Linked DNA regions of Arabidopsis thaliana. The protein of the gene in region 1 interacts with the protein of each later gene in a pairwise test. Each region holds a gene or a part of one and is shown on either strand. Other genes may lie near its edges.

What was found.
Region 2: the proteins of ATM1 (region 1) and AT1G12310 interact in a two-hybrid assay, tested with the Arabidopsis thaliana proteins (one large-scale study listed by BioGRID).

What each region holds. Positions count from the first base shown.
Region 1 is NC_003074.8:6,946,826-6,951,873, forward strand, and holds the start of ATM1 (myosin 1), read left to right. Parts: upstream 1-1,948; 5' UTR 1,949-2,277; intron 2,278-2,594; exon of another isoform or gene 2,595-2,885; intron 2,886-2,957; 5' UTR 2,958-2,961; coding exon 2,962-3,300; intron 3,301-3,437; coding exon 3,438-3,539; intron 3,540-3,621; coding exon 3,622-3,765; intron 3,766-3,889; coding exon 3,890-4,040; intron 4,041-4,149; coding exon 4,150-4,177; intron 4,178-4,278; coding exon 4,279-4,307; intron 4,308-4,405; coding exon 4,406-4,590; intron 4,591-4,704; coding exon 4,705-4,768; intron 4,769-4,871; coding exon 4,872-4,885; intron 4,886-4,986; coding exon 4,987-5,048. UniProt on the Arabidopsis thaliana protein: Myosin heavy chain that is required for the cell cycle-regulated transport of various organelles and proteins for their segregation.
Region 2 is NC_003070.9:4,186,002-4,190,264, reverse strand, and holds AT1G12310 (Calcium-binding EF-hand family protein), read left to right. Parts: upstream 1-2,031; 5' UTR 2,032-2,318; coding exon 2,319-2,765; 3' UTR 2,766-3,612; downstream 3,613-4,263. Other genes in the region: AT1G12320 (ankyrin repeat/KH domain protein (DUF1442)), read right to left, coding at 56-634, 782-841; AT1G12300 (Tetratricopeptide repeat (TPR)-like superfamily protein), read left to right, coding at 4,189-4,263.

The DNA.
Region 1 (5,048 bases):
ACGTAGAAAGTGGCGAACAAAGCTGATAATATCTAAAAGGAGATATATCAGATAAACAATCTCTTGCGATAAATTCTTAAACCTTTTCATCATATGAGTTCAACTTTTATGTTTACTTTTAATATTTCGTGGGGCGAGTGTGAGAATCTGAAAATGGGTTTAGGATTTATACACATAGTAGGAACTTCGCAATCACGATTTTCCACACCGCTGCTTTTTAAGTGACATTATAATGTGGTCGACATAAAAAAAAAAAAATGGTTTCGAAAGTCATACTTAATCACATGGTCGCAACATGTTTTCATATACGAAAAGTAAATTCTGTGAAATATGTGTATTAATTGTTTATAGGTTCATTATGAATTAAATATGTATAAAACTTGTGGTACTTCGTTACTTACTTATTAAAGAATCTTACATTAGTACTAATGTTGGAACATACTTTGAATAATAATTGACATGCAAAGTACTAAACATATGCATAACCTCATTTGATATGCATGAGCTTATTTTGTAACGTTAAACTATCATCTTGAAATGTATAAGTCAGTTTCTCAAAAATAACATTGCTAAAAACGTAATCTAATATGTAAGTCAATAATTCAAATCATTCAACCATACATTGATAAACGTCACAGTTGAAGAGAAAAAAAACAGTCAGAAATATATTTTGATTTGTGAACTATGCGTGCGTTTTGCATTCACTAACGATTAGTAACTAGGGTAATCATTCAACGATTAAATTGTGTTTCATAAACTGGCGAGCGATTAAAACACTTTTATCTATGGAAACATGTGTGTCAGAAATAATTGCATAACCAACGACGACAAAACGAATAAGAAATCATCGTGTTATCAAACTTGTAACAGTAGGTAACAGTCATACATGAATATAAACATGAAATTAATTAAATTTGTTTTAAAAGCTTTTATAATTGTTTTATGTATCCCATCAAATCGCTCTCTATAATAATGTGTGTGACTTTTTGAAAGGATGTTTTGTACCATTTTATTAACGAATCTAAAATTAAAATATTCACATTTTGTTAATTAATATGTGGTTGACTTAATTCTAGAAAAAATGAAATTTAGTACTATACTCTATTTCGCAGACCGATTTTTATTATTTTTCAAAGCGCTGACGAAAACATACGGACCGATTCTAATCTCTTATTTATGTACTCGCACATTAATTAGCTTCTTGATATTTCGATGGCGGAAGATAGCAAATTGTTAATGATACAGTTGGATTTATTTTTATTTAAATTTTCTCAACGAGAGAATCATTAAATATACAATCAATTCTATGTGTTATGAAAAACTGATATTCATTGATATATCATCAGCTAAAAAAACAATGCTATATATCAAAAACTAACAAAATTTGAAGTTAACTAATTCATGTTAAAAATTACATAAATAAGATGAAAAGATCTATTCACATAAATTTCATGAACTAGTTTACTCAAAAGTTTTGAGTCAAAACACAAGATCTATTATTAATTTCTATTTTCACATTCGTTTAGCAACTACAAAAAAGTTTGAAAGAAACCAAAAAAGTGTGAGGGAATATTCCAAATATGATATGTATGTGTACTAATTCGAATTAAGAACATTAAAAGAGGAAAATATCAGCATTAAAAATCTGTGATCATATAATTTGAAACTCAAAAAATAAAATAAAACATCAGTTAAAAAAATACTGTAATAAACAAGGGTATTATCGTCATTTCGCAAACACGTAAGGTGCTGAAAATTGATCTTTTCAAAAATTGAAAGTTCAGTTGGTGGCAAAAACCCAAAGACATTCAAAATTGTCGGATAATTTTAAATTTACAAAAAAAAAAAAAAAAACTGTTAATTCCTCTCAGACAGAGAAAAAAAAAAGAAATTAAAAATCTGTTTTCTCTCTTTTTCTTTTCTTTTCTTCCTTTGTTTTTTTTTTCTTGTGAAGCAGAGAAAAAGTTGTATCTTCTTCATTCTGTACTTTTTTGCGATTTTTTCTCCACAATCTTCTCAGTAAAATTGAAATCGCTCAAGCAGTCTCAGTTGCTACTTGAGAGATTTATACTCTTTTCTTTTTGTATTTTCACTTCCACCGCATTTTCTTACCCCTTTTTTCTCTCATTTCCGGAGTTTATAGAATCAGAAGTTTCTTCTGTGGGGGTGGATTTGGTGTGTCTGAGATCTATCTCCAGAAAAAGTTGAATCCTTTCTGAGAATCTGAAGTTTTTCTACTGAAGGTGCTGCTGATTGGCTTTGCTCTAATTTTGGAAGGTATTTAAAGCCAGGGTCTTGAAGTTTATAATGGGTTTAAGTTTTAACTCTTAAATCGAACAAATTTCAAATATTTCTGCTTTTGTTTTGTTTCTCTTTTAATGAATTCTGATCAAATTGAGAAATTTCGTACCGTCTTCTGTTTGGTTTGTGTGTAGTGTGACATAGGAATTAGTCTTTGTATCTCTCAAGATTTGAGCTAAATTTGTTTGCTTTTTGTGAATCTCTGATTAATTTTTGATTGTTGAAACTTTCAGCAAGAAAGCTCTTAAATGTCAACCAGGCAAGCAAGCCTTAGATATTTTGGTTTCTTCTTTGTTTACTTTCATGTGACTCTCTTTACTTATCTCAATCTCTAGATATTTGTATTGTTTACTCCACCAAGTTAAACGTTTCATCTGCAAAGTCTCTAGCTTGGTCTAACATTGCTTATTTCCTTGTCCAATTTTGATTGGGGAACTTCAAAACAGTGACTGAAGATTCAGAAAAAGTATTTCAGTCTATGTCCTAAAGTATTGGTCCCCGCCATTATGTTCATGAAATTAGATAGGGCTTTTGAGTGGGGTTCTTCTTCAAAAGCTTGATGGAAACCAACTATAGATTGTCATGTATGACTAGATTGTTTTATTTTTTCTTCAACATTTCCCATTTGAGCTTATAAGTTTCGTTCTTTCTTGCAGCAAAATGTCTCAGAAGGTTACTCCATTCATGCAGTCACTTAAATCTTTGCCAGCAGACTATAGATTTGATGGTTCACCAGTCTCTGACCGCCTTGAAAATTCTTCTGGTGCAAGTGTTCGCTTGACCAATTCGAATGTTCCAAGAAAAGGTGGCTTAAGGAATGGTGTTAGTCGAACTGATACTGCTGCTGGGGATAGTGAGGATTCACCATATAGCGGGCACGGTGTTTTTGTTGAAGAGCAGTCTTTAACGGATGATGTAGATTCTGGAGCTGCTACAATGCCCTTGCCTCAGAGTGATGAACGCAGGTGGAGTGACACTAGTGCATATGCTCGAAAGAAGGTATTCCTTAGATTTACATTTTGTGATTCTCGAGGCTTGAGGGTTTTGTGGTGGATTTCTTGCTAATTTGAGAATAAACTTATTGCTTCTAAAGTTATAAGAATATGGGATGAAATTTTGACAGTTTTTAACTTTAGATACTGCAATCTTGGATTCAACTTCCAAATGGTAACTGGGAGCTTGGGAAGATATTGTCAACTTCAGGGGAGGAGTCTGTTATATCTTTGCCCGAAGGAAAAGTAAGTAACTTTTTGTATTTCTAAGGTAGCCAGGTTAATTTTTGAAGTATTTGATCTGAAACTACTTTCAAACTTGAAACAGGTTATAAAAGTCATATCAGAGACTCTAGTACCTGCAAATCCTGATATTCTTGATGGAGTGGACGATCTTATGCAGCTTAGTTACTTAAATGAGCCATCAGTGTTGTACAACCTCAACTATAGGTACAACCAAGACATGATATATGTAAGTCTTTTGTTGTGATATTTTTTTTTGCTCATCAGGATAATAGTCTTTCCCCTGAATCTGTTACTATATATGTTCCAGCATCTACTCTTGCTTGGCTAACCTTTTTCCTTTATGGTGCTAGACAAAAGCAGGGCCAGTTTTGGTGGCTGTGAATCCTTTTAAGGAGGTTCCTTTATACGGAAATCGATACATTGAAGCATACAGGAAGAAATCAAATGAGAGTCCTCATGTGTATGCAATTGCAGATACAGCAATTCGCGAAATGATACGCGGTGGGTTCATGTTTCATTCTTTTGTTAATTGTTGAACGTTAACATTGCAATTCTCATAAGCTGAAAAAAATATTTCAATTCTCTCACTATTTTATCTTTTCCAATCCAGATGAAGTTAACCAATCTATCATTATCAGGTTAGTAGAACTGTCCTCTTTTATGCTTAGTTTTTGCTAATTTTCATGCCTATTGGATTTCAAATGGCACTAGCATGAGAATACTTGTTTTTGGACTAAAGATGTATTTGTATTCATGAGTCCATGACCTGTAAAGTTGCATTAGTTGTGAGACACTGAGACTAGTGGATCTGTTGAATAAAGTGGTGCTTCCAGTTTGTGTATTTTGTGGTGTATCCTTATCACAAGATTCTATTTCTTCTTCCAGCGGCGAGAGTGGAGCAGGGAAAACTGAGACTGCTAAAATAGCTATGCAATACTTGGCTGCTCTTGGAGGCGGAAGCGGGATCGAATATGAGATACTTAAGACTAATCCCATTTTGGAAGCATTTGGAAATGCAAAAACATTGAGAAATGATAATTCTAGTCGTTTTGTAAGCCCTTCATCATTCTGATTTTTGTATATTTTTAATTATCTTATGCTAAGTCGTTGAGAGTTTTAGGTCTTCGTACGTCTCACAATGTTGTTTTGATATTAAAATATACAGGGGAAGCTAATAGAGATTCATTTTAGTGAAAGTGGAAAGATATCGGGTGCTCAAATTCAAACCTGTAAGTGTAACCCTTACAGTTGTGCAACTTCACTTTGTTTTTTCATTTCTACAGAGCTAACTTAGCTTCTTTTTTCTTATTGCATGTTCTTCAAATTTTGCAGTTTTACTAGAAAAGGTAGCTTCTTTGGATGATTTTATTTGCTTGATTTCTTTCCTTTTTAAACATGATTCATTAACATTGACATTTTTTCTTTGTATGTTGACTCATTTTAACAGTCTAGAGTGGTCCAATGTGCTGAAGGGGAAAGGTCATATCATATTTTTTATCAACTTTGTGC
Region 2 (4,263 bases), on another chromosome or scaffold:
AAACACAACAAATACAAGATCCAATAAACACTTATGACTATTTGTCTCTGACTTTCTAGATACTAAACACATGTTCCTCTCCTGATCTCTGATCAACATGTGTGATCCATCTTCTCTTATTGTTACCACTCTTCCCTGAGTTCCTAGCCGCAACATGAGCTATCTCAATACCTCCGGTGACCGGAAGAGTCACCGTTCTAACAACTTTCCGGTCTCTTAAAACCCTTCTCAAGCTCGAATACCCGTTTCTACAAACCACAACAGCTCCTCTGTTTCCAAACGCAGCGTTTTTCAACGCAGCCGCTGCAAATTCTTTGTTCCGCCAATCCACGACCAAGAAGTCGACTCCTTGTAGCTTCTTCATCGCTTTTCCGGGTTCTTCAGCGACGATAGTCTCTGGAAAGTTCAAGGGAGATGAAGATTCTTGAATAGCTTGGAGATAAGCAGATTCTGATCTTGAGTTTTGTACTATACATATGTGTTTAGCGTTTGCGTGTTTGCTTGCTACGTTTAAACCAATACTTGAAGCTATTGCGTCTCCTTCTGACCAAGTTTCCACGATCAGCTTCACGTTCCATCCCGCCGCCATCGCCGCTATTAGCTCCGCCGCGTCCGGCGTTTCAAGATTCTCACACTGAACAAAAAAGAAAAGAAAAAAATCGTTACAAGAACAAACCATGAATCTTTAACAAAATTAAGATCTGAGTTTTCGAGAACTGGAGAGAAGAAGCGTGTGTTATTATTCCTTCACAACTCACCGGAAAATAAAAAAAAAACTTACCGATTTAACGGTGTCTATATAAGCCTTTGATGCTGTTTCCGGAGACCAAACCAATTTCATTTTCTTCTTCTTCTGCTTCTTCTTCTTGGTCTTCTCAAAGTTTCTCACGTTTCTTGTGTTCTGCTTCTTGTTTGGGTTTTAGCTTAAAGTTTGCTTTTATAGAGAACGTAGACATTAAGAAAAGTCTCGTTTCGTTTTGTATCGATATGGCCCTTGTATATTTGTCTAGTTTTTAGGTTTAGCCCCAATACTATCAACTTTAATCAAGTACCCCCCGATTTAGCTCCTTTGTTTAGAAATTGTTGCTTTAAAATCAGAAAATGGACATAGAGAATGCACTTGTTATGAATTAACGGAGGTAATTAGAGTACTATTATCCTAAATTTTTGTGGTGTAAAGGTTAGATTTTGAAAATGTGTAATATGTGAGAGTGATAGGTAAATTTTCTAAAAGATTTACTATGTTTTGTTCTTTCTTTCTGTTTTTTAAAGATAAGGTTTCTAGATAGTCGACTTTGACACTATTCCAGACGAATTTGACGTGTGTAGGCTAACGAGATTTAAACTATAATTAGTCTAAAACGATTTATCAACTGTTTATTCGTTAATAGTAGTTAAGTTTAGAAAATTTTCATTTAGTTGGTACAATAAAAAACACTATTCAGACCCAATTTCAATGACTTTAGTATCATGTGATAACTAAAACCAAGTGGATATAATAGATAATGTCTCATTGATCGTTGATAAGGAGTGTCTGGATACTTTTTTTTCCATCTAGGGATAATGGAGATAGTCATAGATAATGGCATAAATTTCAAACAAGTGAATCATATTTCAAAGCAAACCCAAAAGAAAGATATAAAGTATAGAAGAACTCAAACATGTGAAAAATCATCCAAGTGGAAGGTTACCTTTTAAATCACATGATGATATCATTTGCTATATACATTGATAGTGACCAATGCATTTAAACAATTGTCTTTGTACCCCATAGATCCAATTATGTGGGACAAATCAAACCTTTTTATAATTCCTATGTCACTTTGAAAACGACTCTATCGGTTGTGGCTTAAAGAAATATTAGGTCATGTTTATTCTTTTTATCCCACTTTCTCAAACTTAATGATTTGTTGTATAGTGGAATCATTTTAAGCAATTTCATTTGCCAATACAAATATTAAAATGCAAACCCACTCAAATTATCCTACTAATATTTGATTCTTTTTTTTAATTTGTAACTAGCAAACATATCAAAACTTTATAGGCGAAAGACATTCATTTCAAAAATAAGATCCTAAACTTTAAATTTCCACTAATATGATTGGTTAGACTTTGTTCATCTTTTAAGATTTCAAGAGATAAATGGGCCAGAAATAGTTGGGCCTTGAATATTAGATAAAACGACGCCATATCAACACCTCTCTCGTTAAAAGTTACAAACGCGACTCTCTGATCCTAAATTTCGTTGTACAGAGAAGAAGCAAAAGAGAGAAACATCTGACCCGGAATCTGACCTGAAAACCCGGAAGAATCGAAAAATGGGGAAAGATGGTCTGAGCGACGATCAGGTCTCGTCGATGAAGGAAGCCTTCATGCTCTTCGACACCGATGGCGACGGCAAAATCGCACCGTCAGAGCTCGGGATCCTCATGCGATCTCTCGGCGGAAACCCGACCCAAGCCCAGCTGAAATCCATAATCGCATCCGAGAATCTCTCTTCACCGTTTGATTTCAACAGATTCCTCGATCTCATGGCGAAACATCTGAAGACGGAACCTTTCGATCGCCAGCTCCGTGACGCATTCAAAGTGCTCGATAAGGAAGGTACCGGGTTCGTTGCTGTGGCGGATCTGAGGCATATTCTGACCAGTATCGGAGAGAAGCTGGAGCCTAATGAGTTCGATGAGTGGATCAAGGAGGTGGATGTTGGATCCGATGGAAAGATCCGGTATGAAGATTTCATAGCAAGGATGGTTGCTAAGTGAGATCTAATCTTTTATGTTTTGAAAGTTGAAATTTTTAAGAAGAGATTCTTTGTGTTTTTTTCACTTGTTTGTTTGATTTCGAGCGAATCCTAGCTAGGGTTTGTTTTATCATTGTGGAATTTGCTTACTAACTTTGTCTTCTTCATGTTTGTTTTCATTTTTAATGGAAATGTTGTCTGTGTGATTCCTCTTATCTTATCTAATCTCTAAGAATGTCAAGGTTTGTCTTTTATGCCTTTGTAATTCGTTGGATTGGGGTCAAGGAATCTCATTGATTCCCAATGTGGTAACTTTTCGCTCTTTCGATCTTGAAATGTTTGATTTCGATATCTAGCATTGAATTCTTTTAATAAGCCTTTTTGTTTGTTTAAGACTTGGTTTAATGTTCTTCATGTTATAGTAGTCTTCTTGAATGAGATACTATCTTCTTGTTTCATAACCTTATCCTGGCACGATCTGTGACAAGGACTGTGTTTTGTTGGTATGTGAAGTGGAAAGTAAAAAGATTGCGAAATGATTTAAAGATCTTTTGTTGCTCTCAAGCTTGTGCTGTTCAATATCGTGTTGTTATGTTGCTGTTGGATGTTGTTTGTCTTTCAGGGCGGCATGTTGTACCTAGATAACATGGTTTAAGGTAATAAAGCTTATGATGGCTCATCAGAACAAAGTTTTGAAAAAGCTTATGGCACTGACATTGTAGTTCATGTTCTCGAAACGGTAGTTTTTGACTCGGTTTTGGTTCTTGTTATGGTATAGTTTTCTTGTGTAGATGGTTATGCGAAAATGAAATTTCAATCTGATGCAAGTTTCAAAGTTTGATTAGATACATGCATTCTCTATATGTTCCTGTTACTTCTTACTAATACATGATTTGTGTGAAGATCAAAGCTCTCAAAATAATATTTCCGTTAATGAATACCACATGTAAATGATAAGAAGTATTGTAGTGGTGAAAAGAAAAGAGCATATAAATATACGCATTAGAATGATACCCAAAATGTTCGGTTCACTACACTATGAATCTGTTAACATACAATGTCCGGTTTAGACCGATTAAACAAAAACACGAGTGAATAAAAACAAGCTCTCTCTAATCCCGAGTTACTGGACTCTCCCTATTTGCAAGTAAATTGAGACGTGGCAGTATTTGGATCGCTAGATCAAAACGTAGGAGGGTGCCAAAGGCCATTGATGCATTCCACCGAGCAACTTAAAAGATAAAAATCTTTCCGTATTTTATAGTAAGATACAAAAAAAACCAATTCCGGCATAATTTGAATTGAACCGGTTTATTTGGTACGTTTCGGGTGTTGTTTCTTTTGTCTCTAAGCTCCGTCCGTCGTGTGCCATGGCTGTTTTGTAGGGTTTGCAATTTACACACAGAGTGAGAGTGAGAGTTTGAAAAGGAACGATTCAGCTTGAGATGGTGAAGTTGATGATACGGAGATTGAGTTCTCAAGTTTCGAAATTTGTTCAGCCTCGTCTCCTGGAGACAGGT